Linked DNA regions of Mytilus edulis. The protein of the gene in region 1 interacts with the protein of each later gene in a pairwise test. Links are inferred from orthologs where the notes say so. Each region holds a gene or a part of one and is shown in the gene's direction. Other genes may lie near its edges.

The links. The genes of interacting proteins can lie anywhere in the genome.
Region 2: the proteins of translationally-controlled tumor protein homolog (region 1) and GTP-binding protein Rheb-like interact in binary tests that used the Drosophila melanogaster proteins (3 or more experiments, as listed by UniProt). The link is inferred for Mytilus edulis from reciprocal best matches to the Drosophila melanogaster genes Tctp and Rheb.

The regions. Positions count from the first base shown.
Region 1 is NC_092346.1:46,576,717-46,588,271, forward strand, and holds the start of translationally-controlled tumor protein homolog, read left to right. Parts: upstream 1-7,071; 5' UTR 7,072-7,197; coding exon 7,198-7,225; intron 7,226-9,322; coding exon 9,323-9,396; intron 9,397-9,811; coding exon 9,812-9,996; intron 9,997-10,645; coding exon 10,646-10,764; intron 10,765-11,555. UniProt on the Drosophila melanogaster protein: Involved in calcium binding and microtubule stabilization.
Region 2 is NC_092345.1:73,200,227-73,211,398, reverse strand, and holds the start of GTP-binding protein Rheb-like, read left to right. Parts: upstream 1-5,565; 5' UTR 5,566-5,700; coding exon 5,701-5,749; intron 5,750-8,972; coding exon 8,973-9,044; intron 9,045-9,657; coding exon 9,658-9,725; intron 9,726-10,328; coding exon 10,329-10,411; intron 10,412-11,172. UniProt on the Drosophila melanogaster protein: Binds GTP and exhibits intrinsic GTPase activity. Activates the protein kinase activity of TORC1, and thereby plays a role in the regulation of apoptosis. Stimulates the phosphorylation of S6K through activation of TORC1 signaling.

The DNA.
Region 1 (11,555 bases):
GTTGAAATTGTTTATCAAGTAAAGATCTATCTGCCCTGAAACTTTCAAATGAATAGGACAACCGGTTGTTGGGTTGCTGCCCGAAATAAGTAATTTGAAGGAAATTTTGCAGATTTTGGTTATTATCTTGAATATAATAATAGACAGAGATAAACTGTAAACAGCAATAATGTTCAGCAAAATAAGATCTACAAATAAGTCAACATGACCAAAATTGTCAATTGACCCCTTAAGGAGTTATTGCCCTTTATAGTCAATTGTTAACAATTTTCATAATTTTTTGTTAATTTTTGTTAATTTTTAGGAAATATTTTCCTCTGTAATTACTGGGCCAAGTTCATTATAGATAGAGATAATTGTAGCACAAGAATTTTCAGTAAAGAAAGACCTACAAACACATTACCATCACCAAAACACCATTTTGTCATGAATTTAGCTGTGTCCAATATTAATATGCACATAGACCAAGGTGAGCGACACAGGCTCTTGAGAGCTTCTACTTAATGTATATGGCTCTGATCTGGTTGTAGATTAACATCTTAGAAATAGTTAAATTCATATTTATGATTTGTGTCAACATAATTGTAACAATTATAAAAATCATTGTGATAGATTGCTTTGCTCTTCATGGGCCCTTTAATTGAAATAAAAATATCTTATCTTATCTTATCTTATTCATTCCTGATTAAAGTTGTTTTACATCAATCATAAATTCCGAGTTGTACTCAAGAATATAGCCGAGCTGTTAAATCTCTCTCCGGCTGAAACCAAATACTTGGAAATTATTTATAATAGTAGTTGCCACTTCTCTACAAAGTACCAAACAATTAAGAATGTCGGTCTTGTTATGTTATTTTACCTCTCAAAGTTGGATCTGAGCATCATCGTGTAATAAAATAAATATATCTTATAATATTATTTTTTTTAGATATTTCCTTCTATGTTTTAATTATGCGTTGCCTTTTTTTTTTACATAAACTCCATATATATATATATGTACGTAAAATTTTTAATTGCAGGGCAAATGCAAAGTCAAAGAATACGATCAATGGCAAGTTGATTACCAGAAGTGCCTTAGCAAACATTGATGGTATTGGAATTCAGGCTTCCAATTTTCATGAATTATACAAGTCTTTCGTATATGATGAAATGTTTTCAAATGGTATCAAGTTAAGGATGATGCGATATCTTATTTCTGAGCAACTTAAGAGTTTAAAATTAGTTGGAAATTCAAAAAGCAAAGGGATCAAAATAACAATGACTGATGAAAAAGGCAACACGCCCAACTCACAGAATTTGACAGCTACAGAAAGACTAGAATCTGGAGAAACTACACATAAAATTGTTTCTGCGGATGTGATAACTATGGTAAATGCTGCAACTCAACAATCGGAAGATATTTATCATATACAGTCAAACGACAAACGTCCACCTTCGTCTAAGCATGGTAGATACAAGCGGTCTTTAAGGAGTTTGTTTTCGTTCAGGAGTGGATTGTTTGGCACAGGAAGACGGGTTTCATTCAGAAAAGATCTTTTCGGAGTATCATGGCCTGTAATGTATAAGATGTCTCCCCGCCGTCGTAAATATGTGCCATCAGTTTCCACTTTAACGTCATTTCAAGACTCGTATGGTATTCTAGATCCACTCGCAAGCAATCTGATTGGTTAAGAAGAGTATACCTACATCGAAACTTGAGTTTTAACTCTTTTGAATTAATAAATAGGACAAAGATCATTAAGTTGGTAGACTTATTGTTTTAATTTGATCCGTTTCTTATTATATGTTTTCTTTCTTCTTTCTATGCCTTAGGCCCTTATGAATTTGTTCGTAACATCTCTCGGAAATCGTAAATCAAATGTTTTCAAAACTATAGTAAAGGATCATGTAGCCCTTTGTCATTAATTGTTATTAAGTTAAAGTTTGCAGACTTTGGTTTTAAAGTTGAAAACGAATTAATTTGAGGAGGTCTTCTAAAGAAGCCTATTAGGAAATGTTCATTTGCACAATTACAATGTAATCATGTAGTTACTCCTGAATCAATTGGACTTAATTGCATTTCATTTGGTTTAACTTGGTAGCATACAGTCATGTGAACAAAACTTCCCAATTTTGAACTTTCCATTTATATTATGTATACCAACATTCCGGCAGCGCCTGCATATGGAGTATATGTAATTAGAATCTCCCAGTTTATATCTATATTCTAAGGCTTGCGTTTCCTTTATCATGATCATTAGATGGTTGCTGCTCACAATGAAGATGGCAAACGAAAAGATCCAAAGTGGTGAAGTTGAAATCATCCCTTCGTAAATTTTACGTACGCCATCACGATTTAGTTGACAGTTATTAAATTTCTGTATCATAGATGAAAATGGAGATATTACAGCTACCGTAAGGTTCCACAATATCGTCATTTTACTGAATTAGACTTATTACCAGGTTTGTACTAACATAGGCAACACGATGGGTGCCACATGTGGAATAGGATTTCTACTCACACCTTCGGAGGACATGAGATCACCGCCAATTTCTGTTGGAGTTAATGTTGTTCAGTGTCTAGTTTTATATATTTGGTTTTGTATACCATTGTTTGTCTTATGGTCGTTTTCTCACTTGATTGAGGGGGGGCGAGGGGTTTAGCTGTTATGCTGTTATGGGGCATTTTAATTCTTTGTTATCTGTTATTCTGAAAATATATTTGCTGTTAGCTGTTATTGTCTCATTCTTTGTTAGCTGTTATTGTCTCATTCTTTGTTAGCTGTTATTGGGTTTTTTAGTTATTTTGTTATCTGTTATTGTGATAATGTATTTGCTGTTAGCTGTTATTGAAAATTGGGATGTTAACATTTTTGGGACAGCCAAAATTCGGTAGAAATTGAAGATCATTGAACATTGGAGTCTACCACTAACTAATATGTTGGTCCCGTATTCGGAGAAGGATTCCATTAACATATACCCATCACAAAAGTGAGGTCCAGGACAATTCCATTATATCTTATGATTATCCTTCGTAAAAGCTTTTATATTATATGGTACATAGAATCAGCTCTTTTCAAAGCAGAACCAAATACATTGTACAATGAAAGTTCCCACCATGTACAGGGTTCCGAAGCTACACGTAACTCATTACAATTAAAGATTTATTTCAACTTCAAGCCATAGTTCACCTATTAAACTATATATATGTATTCTACTTACTAGTAGACTTGGTATACAATCAAAACCTGATAACAATTTGTTCAAATAAGGCCTTTGAAAATAGTGGAATAAATTACTTTTGGAGTGTCAAAATTGGTCCTACTTAATAAATTGCATGCTTATACTAGTAATTGGTGCTTTTGATTTTTCTACCCTATATACAACTTTGCCTCATAGTCTTATTCAGAAAAATTCACACACCTCATTAAATGGGCATTTAAAAAAAGTCAGAATGCGAATATATATATTCAAACTCTTTTAGGTCATTTTTTAATTGCAACAAACACAAGAACTATGTCAATTGGACCTACTTTGATACCATAACTGCCCTTGAATTTTTACTAGATATAATTTTTGTCTCTTTGACATATTCCTCATTTCCAATCTCAATTTTATTACACATTATTTAAATTACAAACATGTGTGAGTTTCGATATTTGTACAAAAATAAATGCTGAAAAAAGTATTCCATAACAAATAAACAGCTACGCCATGAGTGCATTATACGCCCGTCACCTTTTGGAAATATTCGATAACTTCTCAATGTCATATCAGATATTTATAAAAATCAGTCAATATATATCATGTATATAAACAATACATCAAAGTTTCATGAGAACTGCAGAGAACATTTTTGAGTTATTGTCCGAAAACTGGAAAATACCATCTTTTTTAATGAATAAACCCCTTAACTGAATAACATTAAATCGGAAATAAAAAAAAAATCGAAAAGGCATGTTCATAGAAAATGGAATTCATTACAAAGGATTATACCCGTAATAAGAAATACTGGATTTGTCAAGGACCCGACTTATTTTAATATTTCATTTACTGTTATCTGTTTTTGTCCATTTTAATTCTTTGTTATCTGTTATAAGCCAAATCAATTTGCTGTTTTGCTGTTATTGGGACCCCCTTGCCCCCCTCTTGATTCAAGGAAAAGTATTTGACCTAATTTGAATTTCATTTGTCTGTCGTCCGTCTTAAAATAGCGACTATGTCACATCTACATCTACATCTACATAATACTTCTTAACTTCAATATGTCACTCATTGACTAATTATAGAAACAAACAAAGCGTACACGAATGAAATGACATGTGAAGTATACTTAAATAAGACAGCAACCCAATGACGCCAACAACAAAAACAAAAATATATAGAACAACATACAGTCTACATAATATCACGTACGATGATTGTACAACAATAGCAGTATACACATTTAATCATTAAAGTCTATAACACCAAAGACAAATATTTGATGGATATTTCTTAAACTTGTTAATCGTTTATAAAATTGCTTTTATTAATTTCAAATTCCTGAAGGTAAAATCACACTTCCACATTATAATAGCGGACTACATTTGTGATAAAATTTTGTTATATATAAATTTTCAGTATTGAAAATATAAGGTTCGTTGAAAGCTGCGATGTCCAGTGGCGGATCCAGAAATTTTCATAAGTGGGGACCCACTGACTGACCTAAGAGGGGACCCGCTCCAGTCACGCTTCAGTGATTCCTTATATAAGCAACCAATTTTTTTCTCAAAAAGGGGGGCCGGGCACCCTGCCCTCCCCCTAAATCCGCCTCTGATGTCACTGCAAAAGTAAAATAACAAAAATACCAAACTCCAATGAAAATGATCTTACTAAATGGTAAAATCAAAAGCTCAAACACATTGATCAAATGGAAAACAACTGCCATATGTCTGACTTTGTATGCAGGCATTTCCGGACTTTTAGTATACAAAAAGGTGGATATTACACCTGTTGTTTTGGTTACTTAAAAAAACGCATACATCGACAAAAATTGATAATGTAAATTCAGTAATCTTGAAGCCAACTGAAGATCAACATTAAGAAAAGGAAAATAAACAATAGGAATGAAAAAAATCGTCCTGTTTATCGTAAACTTTATGATTACTCACGAGCCATTTTAATATTAAAGGGGCATTAGCTATGAGATAAAACGCAGTATTGCATTTTGATTATGATTTTTTTTTATCAACTATTAATGAAAGTGATATAGTGAAATAACAATTCGCGTTTAGTAGCCGATTTGGTCAATTTTGTCAAAATAAGATAAAAAAAAAAAAAAAAAAACCCCAACAAATGTCCATAGTACACGGATGCCCCACTCGCACTATCATTTTCTGTGTTCAGTGGACCGTGAAGTTATGCTCTAATTTGGCATTAAGATTAGAAAGATCATATCATAGGGTACATGTGTAATAAGTTTCAAGTTGATTGGACTTCAACTTCACCAAAAACTTTAACCTGAAGTGGGACAGACGGACCGTCGAACATGTGTATCAACCCCTGGCCTTAGCTGGATATAGGTTACACATGTATTGAGCTATTAAAAGGAAAATAATGTCAAATGTAAAGTGAAATCAGGATGAACCATTTGGGTGACTTATATTCGATCAACAAAAAAATTTGCATAATGGTAAAACGATGATAAACATACCTTTTAAGATACAATGTGATATCAAACACATCTAGAAAAATCTAATTGCACAAGGACGCTTTATATCAGTTAATGTTTAAATGTATGTTTATATTTGGTTATATGACCGTCGGCGGTCTTCTGAGGTTATCTCGATATGGTTATATTAGATTACTCGGAACAGGCACATATAAACATTGAATCAGCATTGGCGGGGTTAAGCATGTTATCTGATTTCTAATATATTCTACGTTTCTATGGGAAATAAATGCATGGGCAAAAAAAACGAGATTTTTCTTTTATAAGGATCAATTTCTTTTCAGAATGAAATGTTTTTATGAATAAACATGTTCATGCTTTGCCGACTGGTACTAGCATAGAATATTTTACAAAATATTCTATTAAAGGATCTCGAAAACCACTTGAACGACTAATTGGTTCTGAACTTACAGTTAAAAATATACATTTGAAATCCTCTTTAGATTACAGTTGAAGACCCCATCCGACATCAATCTCGTCTTTCGCCAATACTAAATTAAACATGTTAAAAGAAGAAAAATGGGGTGGGGGGGGGGGTCGGGGGGGGGGAGTGAAAAATTTATGATGTACCCATTTCTTTCCAGCTTTTTTTGAAAAGGACTATACATGTAATTGCCAACAAAGTTTTGGTTGGATAATAAGGCAGCGAATTTTCATCTTTAAGGCGTCCATTTTTTCCCCTCTGGAAACCCATTTCTAGTTTTCAACTTTATTGCTGTAATAAAGCAAAACACCGCCATATGTGTTATTTCAAATCTCACTAGATATTTCTATGTGCTTCATTTTATGGTAGAAACTGTCTTATTGATATATGTCATTTTTGTGCATAATTTTCACGGTACCTTGTGGAAGTTTTAGATTTGTTAAATAGATGCTATTTCGTTTGGCAAAACAACATTTTTAAAGTTAAAACGGTATTTAAATTAATTACTATTCCCCACCGACTTCATAAAAGCGGAAAGAAATAATTGGCTTCTGATTTCTTATATATGACATGTATATATGACCTAAAATCCTGTATTTAACCATGAAAATTAACAGTTAAGAAATATTTGGGACGATATATAATTGTTGGCATAGTTTTGACCAGTCATCTCTATTTGTATATTAAAGGCACAAAGTCTGCATGAGATGAGACAAATTGAACCTCACGTTATTTTCCAGCTGGAAATATCTGATTAAGGACATTCACATTGCAAACATGTGCTGCTCTATCAAACCAATCATCGGTCTTCAGAAAATGTCTACTCCTGGATGAATTTGACGGTCCGAGTTGTCTTCCTAGACGGTCTATTATGACTTAATAGTCGGTCCAATTTGAAGCGGTACGACTTGTCTCGGGGACGAGTTAGTCCACATTGGAAGAACTGTCACTTTAGAAAGCTTCTTTGTTTAAAACGTTTTGATGACAAACAAAACCGGAAGTGGTCCTTTTACCAGTTCTGACAGCCGGTGTCGCAACACTTCTGTTTATAACAGAAAATAATCTACCAACATCAGCCAAAATGATTATTTACAGGTGTAAAATATCAGGTAAATTAATAAATTATACACTTTTTGATATTTTTTGCCATTTTGATTAGCTGAATTTTACGATCAAAGTAGAAAACAGAATCTTTTATATGAGTGTATTAGTCAGCTGGTTTGTAAAGCTATTTCAAACACTCCCTTTACTATCCCAGTTTGGATCTGGCTGAAAAAACTGGTGACTTTCATTCAATGATTTGTTGTAAAGCTAATGTAGATAACAACACAGAAATCACTGTAGAGATCGACTGTAAACAATGGTCAACTAGACTGTTACAATTCTACTTTGAACAAATTATTATAACCGAACGGCGAAAGGAATCTGTGACGTACCCATCCATATTCATAAGTGGGAAATACAGATACAGATTATAAGTCCGAGATTACTCTGACGTCCAACGGCTGTTTTGCCAGACAAGCTGGGGCCGTGGGACGTCAGAGCTCGTCCCATATCAAAAAGTGGATATTTGCCCACCCAAAATAGATGCGCTGCTTCGTCGCTTCTATTTCTGATTGAGGGCCTTGAAATTATATAAATTGGGCATCAATCTGTTCATTTTTCATTTATCTCTTCATTTATGTAAGTTTCACCTACCTGCCCACCTTTATTTTTCCATATTTAAACAGTTTTCACAGAGACCCATCGATTTCTGCATTTTGACTTTCACTTTCAAATGGACGTCAAGTTACGAGAGAGTTCGTGGCCTCGAGACTCAAATATGCAAATATTTATATTTTTTCACCTCCTTTGTAGGAGATCAATGTTTAACATTTAGAAGCCAACCACGATTTTTCACCTCCTTTACAGGAGATCGGTATTAAGCATTTAGTTCCGACCACGATAACAATCGGAAGCTCTCGGACATTTAGATAACTTGCATCGTAAATGAACGAGGTGTTACAATATGGTCATTTGCACTGTTTTCTCATGGTCACGTGATAATCTTTGAAAATGAAAGTCAAAATGCAGAAATCGCTAATCTCAGCTTTAAAATTGAAAGTGAAAATTGTTGCTTGCAAGGTAAATTGGTCTCAAACTGTCATATTTTTTTTAGAAATAAAATGATCTTTGAACATCAATCGTGAATCCGTGCGGGAAATATGTGACAATCAACACGGGTACGGAATCGTCGCAGCTTAATTCTGTATAATGTCACCAGTAAATACTTTGAATGGTCTTAACTTTAACGAAGTTTCGTTGATATATACTTGCCAAAGATAGGTTTTAACAATAATGCACACGGAAGCGTAAATAAATGTCAAACTACAGAAAATGGTCAGCTGTTCATTAAAATATTTTTGTTTTAAAAAGTTGTATACCAAATATCTTAACCATATTCGATTTTATTAATTCTGAATGAACATGCTCTCTGCAAATAACAAAGGGGTGAATTCTAAGCAAAAGGCAGATGATGAAAGTAGAAGTATTTTTTCAGACCAATGACTTCTAATGAACAGGGAAATACACCTCCGATCCGTCTACACTCAGCTGTCAGTATACGCGGATATTATTGCTTCCCCTAATCCCAACCAAGCTAAAGTTTTAGCAAGTGATAAAAGCAAGCACCATGTTCTTGGTTTCAGTGACAAGTGGCTGACTGAGTTTTCATGGCTTAGAAATGTTAAAGGGGGTATCAGCAAAAGTTATTGTGAGAGGGGGTTTTGAACCCCTAAAGAGGATAAAGACAAAGTTGAGGAACAGACTGTCCAACAAAATAGCATTATCTTGAAACAATATCCCTAGGAGTAGGGAGTACAGAGATGAATATTTTTATTTTGACATCTTTAATGGACTGAATATAAATAACTTTTGTGTTTAAATCAATTTATTTCATATATTCTTGTAATTCATTAATACTTTGCATTATTAAACACACAACACAAAAGATTATAACTCATATTGCATGTCATGATTTATGACTGATTGATTGATTCAGATCACAAAAGTTCACTATAAAAAAGAGTTACACGCCCTTGAATTTTGCGCCTTAGAAAATTCCTGGGGAGAACACTGGTTAAAGATGTTTAGTGTGAAAATATGATTTAAAATTTGTTTCTTCAAAATTACTTGAGAAAATATATTATTGTATTACTTTTTTTCAGGAGATGAATTGTTCAGTGATGCTTTTGAACCAATGATTGTGAAAGAAGACTTCTTCTATGAAATTGAGGGAAAGGTAATTATTATTTACATTATCATCCTTCTCTTCATCTATATCACCCTGCTCAATTGCTTTGTTATTCTAGTACCAAGGCTTTGAGGTGTGATGTTATTCTTGTACCAAGGCTTTTTATGTGTAAGCAACCAATATAAGTGAATTACAATGTCTGCAGAAGAGTTTTCAACAACGTCATTATGTGTGAGATGTCCAGCATAAAACAATCGAAATGAGGGAGGAAATACCAGCAAAAGAACTAAACAGGTTATCTTGTTTTCTATGAATAGAATTCACAATCTTCAGGCTTTCATTCATGTTTGAAGAGATAATATTTATTAATCTGTTTGCTTAAAATGTATGGTAGAAATTAAAAATATAATCTAACATGTTACGATGTATTTGACAAACTACAATATACTTTTATCTTTTGTAGAATATTTCTATCAGCAATAAAATTGATGAATCTGCAATTGGAGCCAACGCTTCAGCAGAGGAGGCAGCAGAAGGCCAAGAAGACTTAGTAGAAACCAAAATTAATGTAATTTACAGTCACAAACTTCAAGAAACCAGTTTTGACAAGAAAGGTTTCCAGACATTTATCAAAGAATATATTAAAGTGTATGTCAAATTTTGTCATGCAGGTTCAACAAATCTCCATACGACCACTTCTGTTTATAATTTATGATTCCTAAAACATTTTAATTTCTAGGCAGTTTTTTTCATTGCATCATTTCAGTATCGAAAGATTTTCTATTTACACTATTTAATGTCCTTGAATATGAATTAAAATTCAGGATTCTATAAGTGCACTTTTCACCAGCCCAGTAGTCTGCACTTCTGTGTTGATATGGAGTATCATTGATAAACTTTCCAGGTCCTTGCTGTAGAACTTCTTTTTTTTTGTATTTGGGGAAACCAACATTCAGAATCCATAAGGCCTACAAATGTCTGATCAATTCACAGATTTCTGTAGAAAGTATAAAGAAAGTAGCTGAAATTGATCATTCAAATAGTTGAAAGATATATAATGCACACATGATTATTGAACACTTTCTAATTTGTCTTTTATATTGTAAAATTATATATATTGATCACATGTTTGTACCATTTGTATATGTAAAGATAAATTGTGCATGCATTTTAGAGACAGAAAATTAAATGGCTATACAGTTATAATACAATCAAATGCTGCATTTGATCATCAAGATTTCTAAACTTAAGTTTTTAATGATTGAATCCTTCAAAAAATATATTTTTGATATTTCAGATTATTAGCTAAAATTGAAGAAGAAAAAGGCAAAGAAGCTGCAGATGAATTCAAAAAGCGAGCAGCCACAGGTGTAAAAAAAGTTTTAGAAAACTTCAAAAATTGGCAATTTTTCCAAGGTATATTTACATGTAGTAATATATATTAAAGGCCAAATAAAAGTATATGTGTGGTCCTAGTTGCCCTCCAACCCTAGAACTTTTGTTCTTCATTTCTATTTCATAGGATCAATTTTTGAGGATTGTGAATTTAATTTTATATAATGAAATTCAGATTTTTGTCATCTGATTTTCCGAACTTAGCCACTATCATTATTAGGGTATTTAGTTAGAAAAATGGGTGGTGTGACCCAATCAACCAATCAAGATGGCTGCCATGGTCAGTGTTCTCCCCAGGATTTTTGGATAGCGCTGTGGTAAGCGCGTAATTTTCGACGATTCTCAGTAACTTTATCGCGGCACGCAGTTTGTTTGTAATTTATTTGTTATGTGTTTTTATTATATCATGCTGTTGATTTTTCCTCTTGTTATGATGTCCTTGTCATGCTCATGGAAGTTACAGTGTACCCATTAATGAGGCTTTGTTTGTTAACGACGTGTTATTGTCTGGATATATAGAAGAAGAGGTTTTTTTTCTCCATGGCCTTGTAATTTCATATATTAAATCCTCATACTATCTATGTATACAACTGAAGATGGATCTACACCAGACTGCCTGTGCCAAGATTTCTTAGCACCATCAGGTAATGTTGCAGAACATGTAGGACTAACAATAAAGTCATTATCAGTTTCTGTTTGGTTTTGTAACCAACTGTAGCAGTGTACTGTCAACCTTACGACGTTTGACAGGAATTTACATTTCTCATTTTTATGACCCAAACGTTTTATAATATTTAAATGGCTTCATCCAA
Region 2 (11,172 bases), on another chromosome or scaffold:
CAAGTTATTTTATAGACAATGCTTAAAGTTCTAATTTACTATACAACGAAGCGTGGAACGACTCAAACTTATTTCTTTTACAATTGTTGGAAAAACGTATTTCACTTGTTAATATTTTTACTTTAAAACCTATAAATCATTGTGTGTTATGCTTATTGTTGATATTAAACGCATTCGTTCACCATCGATGGGTTTCAACTGGTGATGTTCATTTCATCATGTTCATTGTGATGTATATTTCTCAGCCAGATACCCAAAATTTAAATAAAATAAATAACAATAACAAAATAACAACAATTGAAAATATTTTTTTTCTTGATAGCAGAGCTTTTTTCCCGTTTCGGGCCTAATCCTTGTATCGTTTATATGTCAAGTCAATGCACTACTATTGTCTATTTACTTCACTTCTGATGATTTTTCAAATACCCGTTACGCTGTCAAGTACGTGACTACATAGAAAATACTTTATAATAAAACTCATCTGTTAAAGAAAATGATGATAAGACATTCATTATAATAAATCAAATATCACATAGCTGAGAGGGTGCTAGAGCAGATCGGTATCCCTCGAAAAAACATTGTCAACCTTGGCTTCGCCGCGGTTGACAATGTTTTCTCGGGACCCAATTTGCTCTATCACCCTCTCAGCTATGTGTTATTTATATCTTATCACATATTTGTTATGGATACGGATACATTTTTAAGATTTACCTGTTATGTTTCATTAAATTGTTATAATTGAACTTTTTCCCCTCTTTTCTGCAACACTTAAATATGTGATAAATAGCTTTAAAGATTATAACATGTTTTTCCATATTTGCCCTGGTATCATCCCTCAATCCATATCGGCCCTCGGCTAAAGCCTCGAGGCCGATATGGGAGTCTCGGGATGATACCAGGGCTAATATAGAAAAGGGCATGTTATAATCTATACATATTGATTTCATCCAAGAATGTTCGCATATATCATGCGGATTCTGTTTAGGTTGTCATGAATGACACTAATTTGTATCTAAATTGGTATTAACCAGTATATAAATCAGAGATAAACGTCGTAATGTAACTAAACATCAGTAATTAAAATATATTGGGATGCTAGAATATATAAAGAATAAAGAAATAATAATGAGTAAGATAAAATAAAATGTAGAGAAAAGTAACAGACAATTTAAAGAATATAGAAATAAACAACACCCCCAATCCGGACCCTCATTGTATACACGAGAATCTGGATGGAAACACAGAATATATAGAATAATAGATAAGGACAGTAGGAAGTGATGCATTAATAAAAAAAGATAAAAAAAATAATAACTGTTTGAGATTAATGACATGAAACTTCCCTTGGTGTTGAAACAGTAACGGATTGCTATGTACTCATATTGGTAATAAATGCTAAAAGTTTACATGCGGACAACTGCAGTTCTCCTCTGCACTTATGTAGAAAGGAACTAAACGGAATAAAATGAATTAAAACTTAAGATAACCAAATGTAGCTGCATTCGCTCCTTTCCATTTACTTCTTTAGACTGATTTGTAAACAACAGATGATTCAGTAATAGAAGAAAAGAACCAATCGAATGATGTTGACGATTTAGAGTTTAACGTCCAGTGACAAATATCATGTGCATATGAGAACGACAACACGTTATATGTACCCTGTGTTGTATTAGAAAGACACTTTCGGACGGATTTGAGAACGTGCTACTTTGAACAGACACACAAATAAAGGCTGAAGAAAACGTTAATAATAGATTCATGCATATTCCAGCAGGCAATCCATATCCATATATTGAAGTGACACACTCCTTTATAAAATGCAAAGGAAGTCAAAATAAAAATGTTCTTACTAGAAGGATACTGTTGCAGCGTATTGTCATTTTTTTTTTACTCAAGAGCATCTCATTCTTAACTTTTTCAAAGGGAAAATATAAAGGTAGCACAACTATTGTCGTGACTAAATAACTCTTAACTGACACAATTTCAATTGTCCAACCCATTAACAGACTTTATTCCCATAATGTTCACTAAAACGTGGTATTACTGACGTTATATTACAATTATGAAATATTTACTAATTTCAATTTATATTTTAGAACCAAAGTACGATTTTGTGTCCTTTAAATGATATCTAAAATTGTTTTTTTCGCCTTTCATTACAAAAATTGCTATGCGTATAAGCATAAATACTACATACTTGCGCGACGCCTTTTAGTTTTACTGAAAACTGCGCAGACTATGAAATGTTTTTACAGTTGGAAACTGTTCTATGATATATATCATTTTGTCAGACACTTTTCTTTTTTTGATTTGATTCTTATAATGTACCTAAAATCTGTATATTAAATAGATTTTAATATTAAAATTGTGCGTTTTACTCTTAACAGACGTATAACCAACCCGATTAACAGACCAACCGCCGATATAGCCGCATACTCAATATAGATTAACCGACTATCTCTCGGTTAGCCGAGTGTCGGCCGTGTAATCGTATATATATATATATCAGATTTTTTAAAGTTACAACTTACATGTTACTATCTTTCTCGTTGAATCTCAGATGACATGATTTTCTCTTTTTGTTTTCTTCGTATCACTGCTTTCTTACAAATACACAACAGGAAATAATCACAAAAGTGACCATCCCATTACATTCAGATTTCCTATAAACTTAATTACCATAGCAACTATCTTTGAAATTTGTCGAACATATGTTCAAACCTTATCAGAATGGGCTTGATTAACAGACTGGCTGTATCAAATATCACTCTGCATATAATTGCTATTATTTTGTTTCACAAAGTTTAATGAATAAAGTTATTATAAATAATGATTGCAATAAATTTTAATTTTTAACCAGGCAATCTATGTTTACGATATACATTTTTTTTATTACAGTAATGATATTCCAGTATAAATTTTACCTGACTTAATTATATATAGAGTATAATATATGATCACGCAACGTTGGGCCAGTATTGGCCCAGCATAGAGTTGTAAATGTAATTTCAGTTGATAAACACTTTCGGTATAACATTAACTTTTCATAAAGCTTGCTGCAATCGAAATTATCCGCCTCCCAAGAGAAATAAAGCGCAAAATATTATATAATCAATTCTATTAACAAAATTTCATATCGGCCCTATGTTGCTACTAACATAATGCCAACATTTGCCCGATTATTTATAACCAACATGAGATAATAATATGAATTTACAACAACAGACCAACGTTGGGCCAATGTTGTGCAGCCGACACCAACGTGCGACCAATGTACCGACAATTTGCCAACGTTGGGCCAATGTTGTGCAGCCAACATAAACTTGCGACCAACGGACCGACAATTTGCCATCGTTGGGCCAATGTTGTGCAGCCAACATAAACTTGCGACCAACGGACCGACAATTTGCCAACGTTGGGCCAATGTTGTGAAGCCAACACCAACGGTCGACCAACGGGCCGACCATTTGCCAACGTTGGCCCACTGTTAGTCTGCTGACTGGGCAGTGATTGTATAATTTCATTTGGATAAACTTTACCAATATTTTCTTGTTTCTGTGCAGTATCATCAATTATGGTACCTATTAAACTTATTGATATTTTTCTTGAGAGACTCATACACATATACTTTTAAACAACTGATGTCATATATCATAACAGACAAGATTCAAATTTATATGTTAATGCACTGGTCAGACATTTATAGGTTAAACAAGTACATAACCTAAGATATATTTGTTGTCATTTTGAATGTCAATGTTTACAAATGACTGATTCCATACTGGTACCACATGCCACATATATAATAGTAAATGTAGTAATAGATCATACAATTATTTATAAAATGATAAGTTTGTGGTCAGGTATTTGTAGTACATCATTTGTAACCTTAAGTTGTGACAGTACTATATGATTCATATTAGTTATTATTAACTAATGGGCAAATCATTAGGCTAAATAACTGTTTCTCAATTGCACTAGCAGAAAACAATCTTGTATACCGGGATATTTCACTCAAGTGAATTTCACCTCAAACGAGCTTGTAATTCAGTGGTTGTCGTTTGTTGATGTGTTACATATTTGTTTTTATTTCATATTTTTGTACATAAATTAGGCCGTTAGTTTTCTCGTTTGAATTGTTTTACACTTGTAATTTCAGTGCCTTTTATAGCTGAATATATTGTATGGTGATTTGCTCATTATTGAAGGCCGTACGGTGACATATAGTTGTTAATTTCAGTGTCAGTTGGTCATTTGGTCACTTGTGGAGAGTTGTCACATTGGCAATCAAACCACATCTTCGTTTTTTATATAGTATACTACGTGGAACTCACTTTTCATGTATGTTTAACCTGAAATTCACTCACGTGAATTTTTTACACTTGAAATGCACGTGAATTTTCAATATAAAGTTATTCAATTAACATCTAAGTTTTTAAATTAAATCAAATTCATGAAAAATACTATTTTCAGTATCTTGTATAGTTCACGTATAAAATTTCATTTCAGATATCTAATGACATGCGTCTTTTGATTTCATACAAATTCTTCCAAGTTTTCCTCAATCGTTTTTTATTATGCACATATAGAATGAAAAATAGAAATTGATTTTTTTATATTCATTTTTCTCGATACCAATTAATAGTATTTGTATCCTAAAATAAAAAAACAACAACATTCTTTTATATACGGGGAGATTTTCCAGCTACAAGTGGAATCAAAGTGAAATCTACCCTAGACGACCTTATACCGGCGTGAATCCTACATGAAAATTTTCACGTAAATTCCACGTGAATAATGAGTTTTAGGGAGCAACCATTTAGCTTCAAAAGGGGATTGGGTTTTGTCGGGATTTTTTTTTACATTTAACACTATAAGGAATGGGGAGAATCTGGATTCAGACATTTGTTTTTGTCATCTGCTTGACCACAATATTTTTTCATCAAACTGGGGATCCATACCCTGCCCCCTTTTTTTAAGTTAAATTGTCGTTTCTTAGCATTGTCTGTTGCTTTTAATAAGTGATCATGTAGTGTGTATGTAAAGATGATTGCTTTCTTGTTACGTGGATGATTTAAGGGTTTTGCAATGAGCATGTGATGATATTGTTAAAAACACAATGATGTCATCTGCAAAGGGGCGAACATTACTTTTGAGGTAGGCAGGCATGTTAGCATAAACATGTAATTGTAAAAATGAATCACGGCTTCTCTTTGTTATTTTACTATGATGGTATTTTAAAGAGTTGATCATGCACACATTTTCCAATAAAGCGATTTCATACAAAATCTGATTCGGTTAACCAGGGACTTTCTGTTAGTCAGTATAGAAAGTCCCTGTGACAACACTTTTGCATCCCAAATAAATTACAAAACTTGAGAAGAATTTATTTCTTTGAAAATACTGAATCAGGGAGTACGTAAAAACTTAGTGATATAATATATCGATGTCAAGTTGCAAGATCGTTACGTTATTCATATATGATTCGAACCTTCTGTGTTTGACAAAGAAAAGGTCGAGTCGAGAATAGGGCGACTTGTCCTTTTCACTTATCAAGGGGACGTAACTCGGAAAAACAATAAGAACCGGAAGTCAATATAATTTTGCAATGCGACATTGACATGGTTTGAAAACAAAAACAAACGTGTTTACATTCACAAAAAACAGACCTTGTCCTTTTATATGTTGTGATCAACAGAAATGGCAGCAAAACAAAAAAGAATAGCTTTAATGGGCTTCAGATCTGTTGGTTGGTTTCTCTGTATCATATAAATTTTCTTTTCGTTGAATCTAAAAAAATGTACATTTGTAGCAGTGCCCAGATATTTTGATAGTAAATCGTATACCCCATTCATCTTACATCCCAATTGGTATACCTTCATATGACAAAATGTAAAACACCTTACAAATTACTGAAGGAAGCAAGTACTCCCTGTTAGCCTTTTGATGTTTTATACTGGAACTTTGATGCTGAACATCATGACATCCCTCAGAGCGAAGCCAGTTGAATACACCTTATCGCTATTTAAAAGTCTATCCCGCTCAAACTTTTGACATACATTAATCACTTTTCTATTGTGAGTTCAGATATTTTCTTTTATTACGTCAAAATTTTATGGGAACTTTTGTGATGTCCAGTAATGGATGAAAAATAGCAATAAGATGTACATTTGTATTGTAACTGGATGGCCAGTGGGGTGTTGTCCAATTTAGAAATGAACTGACATTTTATGGTCCACTATCATCATTTCTACAAAAATGCCACTAGAAACCTTGAGCTCCCTGAAATCAACTACACAGACGTGTGAGAATAGCGGCTAACGACATTGATAAATAACTTTATTGACTTACTTTAACTTTTAACTTACATGTAACTAGATTCTTATTTAGTGTTCTAGCCAGGATTTTAAAAGGGCAAGGTGCTAGTCAGAAAAAAGGCAATTTTTGCATGAATGTCATTGAAAAAGGGCAATTATTTATGCCTCATAATTAATAAGAATATAACTTAGGAACTATGGTAAAATCAAGTTTTGGTTAAGGTTTTTGTGGACCCTTTTGCTAAAATGGCTGCTTATAAAGGAAACATTCAATAGAAAATAAACATACCTAAAAAGGAAAAATTAATGATATGACAAAATAAATCATTTTGCAGTGAATTTCATAATGATTAAAGCATAAACAAAAGATAAAAGTATGATATTAACAAATGTTCTGGAAAAAAAAGTTGTTAGATAGAATAAAGATAAAGAAAATTTAAAAGTATAAGGGTACTACATTTTGTATAAACATGTTACATTCAGATGGAAAGTTGCAGAAAAACCACTTTGAAAGACAATTTTGACATCACACGTTTACATTTACAACAAAATTTATGTCGGTAAAAAACTCCTGATCTGAGACCTAATCTGACCAAAATTTCCCAATCTCCTGATCTGAGTTTCAAAGTCCATCACATGTATGATAATCATTGTGACTTAGAGATCGAAAATGCCGACCCAAGCTAAACACACTCCAAGCTAAACACTCGTTGACACATTCATCAAAAGTATGACAAAAAGATACATTGTCCTAATTAAATTACCTAGTTACATTTGTATTAACACCTTTGAAGTCTTTATCATTGTAATTGATTGTAATGACATGATTAACCTGGGGGCAATCACACAGGTGTCATATATGTAATTAATTTGGAGATCAGAAATCGATGAAACAAAATTTTACCAAAACGGCGCAAGATAATTTTGGAAAAAGACGTCAGGGCAGAAGGGCGCGGATGAAGGCACCCAGGGCGCGGCTGAGGGCACCCAGGGCGCGGCGCCCTTCTATTTCGGGCTAGCGAGACCACTGTGATAAGATGAAGTGTTTATTCCTAATTGGCGACTATGGAAGTTTTAGAGGACCTTGTCACCAATTAGGAATTCATACTTCATCTTATAAAAACTGCAATATAAAATGTATAACTAGTATTCCTTCAATCCACTTGATAGATCAGTTATAAATGAAAATTAAGATGAAACAAATAATTTTCAAAATGTTAATTTTTTAGGTAAAATTAAGAAATTCCGGTGAAAAAATATTTTAAGGTTTATGTACCCTTCTGTAGTCATTTTTGTACGAACTTTTCAAACTTCAATTGTATCAAAACTACAGATATAATGAATAATAGAGATAGGCCATTTTGTACATATTCCAAGGGGAAACTTGATGCAAAGCATTATTTTTTACTGTTCCATTGCATTTAATAGAAAAAGAGGACTTTGTGGCAAATAAATCAAGATTTTTATAGAAAATCCACAGCCTTTATCCTTGTACTCTCATATTTGGCAATGTGATGACTGATAGATATAGGATTATTGCATGCAGTGCTAGCATTGATTTCCTTAAAACAAGTTTATAAATGTAGTTATTGGTTAAGACAAGTATAAATATGGCCAAAATCAAGTACACCTTTTAGGGTGCGCTCGACTTTAGTGACTCAGCACGAGGTGTTTTGGAATTTACAGGTTACTTAGAACTTTTTGTAAAAAATAAACACTAGCACATCATAGAAAATCAAGTGAGTAATTTATGTTTCAAATTTTATAACAAAATTCTCTGTATTAAAGGCTGTGGATTTTCTATAAAAATCTTGATTTATTTGCCACAAAATCCTCTTTTTCTATCAAATGCAATGAAACAGTAAAAAATATTGCTTTGCATCAAGTTTCCCCTTGGAACATGTACTAAATGGCCTATCTCTATTATTTATTATATCTTCAGTTTTGATACAATTGAGGTTTGAAAAATTCGTACAAAAATGGCTACAGAAGGGTACATAAACCTTAAAGTAATACATGTATCTGATATGCATTTGCATTCAATTTATTAAAGTTTGGGTTTTTTTTACGAAAAAGAACATTAATGTAAGGAGTATAACGTGAAAGGTGATATAAAAGAGGAAATAAATCAAATTTGTTTGTCAAACATTTTTGAAATACATAAATTATTATTTACTTAAAGCCTAAGGTAATTGGTGTTAATTACCAATGTGTTTGACACCAAAGCTGTCAGGTGAAGATATGCACTTTTTTAGAGAGTTTACACAGCTAACTGAACTTTCTGTTCATAGAAGAATTACAAATTTGCCAGCATTTCAAAGGCAGAAAATGCTAGATTTTAGTGCTAAAAACGGCGGGGCCCTTGAGAAAACAGCAGATAAAAGGCATGGCCTTCAATAAAAAAGGGCCAGTGCTGCGCCATGTTCAAACTTTGTAGCTAGAACACTGTTATTTCACTTTCTATTTATATCTGTAACTTTGTCATAACAACCTTTATTGTAACATTATTTTTTGTACTTCACTGTTTGATTTCTAATGTTATATTGTCCTCAAGACACTACGCTTGTTGGCGAAACATGTAAACCAGAATAAAATCTTACCATGCTGTAATTATTGGCTATTGTCTTTATTATCGTTTTATGTTTTATATTGTAGGAAAATCATCAGTTACCATTCAGTTTATAGAAAAACAGTTTGTTGATTCATATGATCCAACAATAGAAAACAGTAAGTATGAAACTCCAATCTCATATTCCAAATTGTAATCAGGGTTTTCGCTAACATTATTTGAAGTCCTAGAGTAGAGCTCATCTCTTTTTGCAGAAGTGAGGCTCAATTGATTTTGGTAAGGTCTTATAATATTACATTTGTAACTCAAATAATTCTTATCTGGATCAGCTGTTGGTCTTGAGCTTTACATCAGTGTAAATAAAGTTTAATCAGTGAAATGATCACAGTTAACAAACCTAACCACTGGAATATTGAGGATTATTATAATAGTTGTAGTAAATCATTTACAAACTAGCAAATGTTCAATATGATGAAAAGAGATGAATCCCCGAATTCACCCTAAAGATATCCTTGTGAGAACCCTGGGTAGTATTAAATGAAATGTTTAAAAGCATATCAGATTTTATCAATTTTTGAAGTTTAATTACAACAATTAATACTTTGTTAAAAGGAAAAATAATGTAAATTCACAAACGCAAGTTAACAAGTTTTGTGTGAAGGACATTTATCGGTAAAATATTTTAAAATCGGAACATCTGTATCACAAATAAATTTAACCAAAATTGCACTGAATATACAATAATAAAGTTTCCTGTTTTGTATTTTATAGCCTTCCACAAGAATCTAAAGATAAAAGGACAAGAGTATGCCTTAGAAGTTGTTGACACAGCAGGACAGGTTGGTTACACAAGGCTCGCTTCTATTCAGTGAAAATTATTATAAAAGTGATATTAGATAACTCTGTGCATTGATCAAAGTTAGATTGTTGTTATGCCCAATTGTACTTTAATTTTCTGTTTTGATTCTGTAAAATTATACATTCTCCTTGAGAAAAAGTTGTTTTTGGTATTTTTTTGGATAGGATTAGAGTAAAAGAATTATAAATACATTTATGTCTGCAAAAGTTCATGAACAAAATAACAAAATTGTTTTTTCTTTGAGAGGATTAATTTTCAACAGCATAGTTATTTGCTCAAAAGCAAAAAAAAAAATTAAGTTCATTAGACCACATTCATTCTGTGTCAGAAACTTATGCTGTGTCAACTATTTAATCACAATCCAAATTCAGAGCTGTATTCAGCTTGAATGTTATGTCAATACTTGCCCAAACCGTTAAGGGTTCAATCTGCGGTCATATAAAGCTGCGCCCTGTTGAGCATCTGGTTTTGTATATACGTATACTTTTATTGAATGGAATTAAAATCTGAAAGAAATTTAGTAATCATTTGCCGTCTATGATTGAACATAATAATTCATATTATTTTATAATCTTTTTTACAGGATGAATATTCTATTCTACCTCAGAGTTATTATATTTCTGTAGATGGTTACGTTTTAGTGTATTCAGTAAATTCTCGTAAAAGGTAAGTTTTGATTCAGCATTCTTTTAGAGTATGCTTGGTGCAGCAAATATCTTGTTTGATCAAATTTCACTGAATGTTGCAATAGGTATGTTTTGACATAAAAATTGAAAGGAACTTATTAACTTTGAGAAGCACACAAAATATAGGCTATTACCTAAACACATAATGGTTACTAATATGATTGAGTGAGCTGTGATTCTGTGTTTCTTTTCTTATCCATCTCCATCATCAACTATTACTATTTATTGAATTTATGCAGTCTGTTAATGAAAACAGTTATTTAGTCAAGGGGTAAAATAATACCAATACTTTATGACTACTCATTCCTTTTTATACGACCGCAAATTTTGAAAAAATTTTCGTCGTATATTGCTATCACGTTGGCGTCTGCGTCGTCGTCGTCGTCCGGCGTCCGAATACTTTTAGTTTTCGCACTCTAACTTTAGTAAAAGTGAATGGAAATCTATGAAATTTTAACACAAGGTTTATGACCACAAAAGGAAGGTTGGTATTGATTTTGGGAGTTTTGGTCCCAACATTTTAGGAATTAGGGGCCAAAAAGGGCCCAAATAAGCATTTTCTTGGTTTTCGCACTATAACTTTAGTTTAAGTTAATAGAAATCTATGAAATTTTGACACAAGGTTTATGACCACAAAAGAACGGTTGGGATTGATTTTGGGAGTTTTGGTCTCAACAGTTTAGGAATTAGGGGCCAAAAAAGGGCCCAAATAAGCATTATTCTTGGTTTTCGCACAATAAC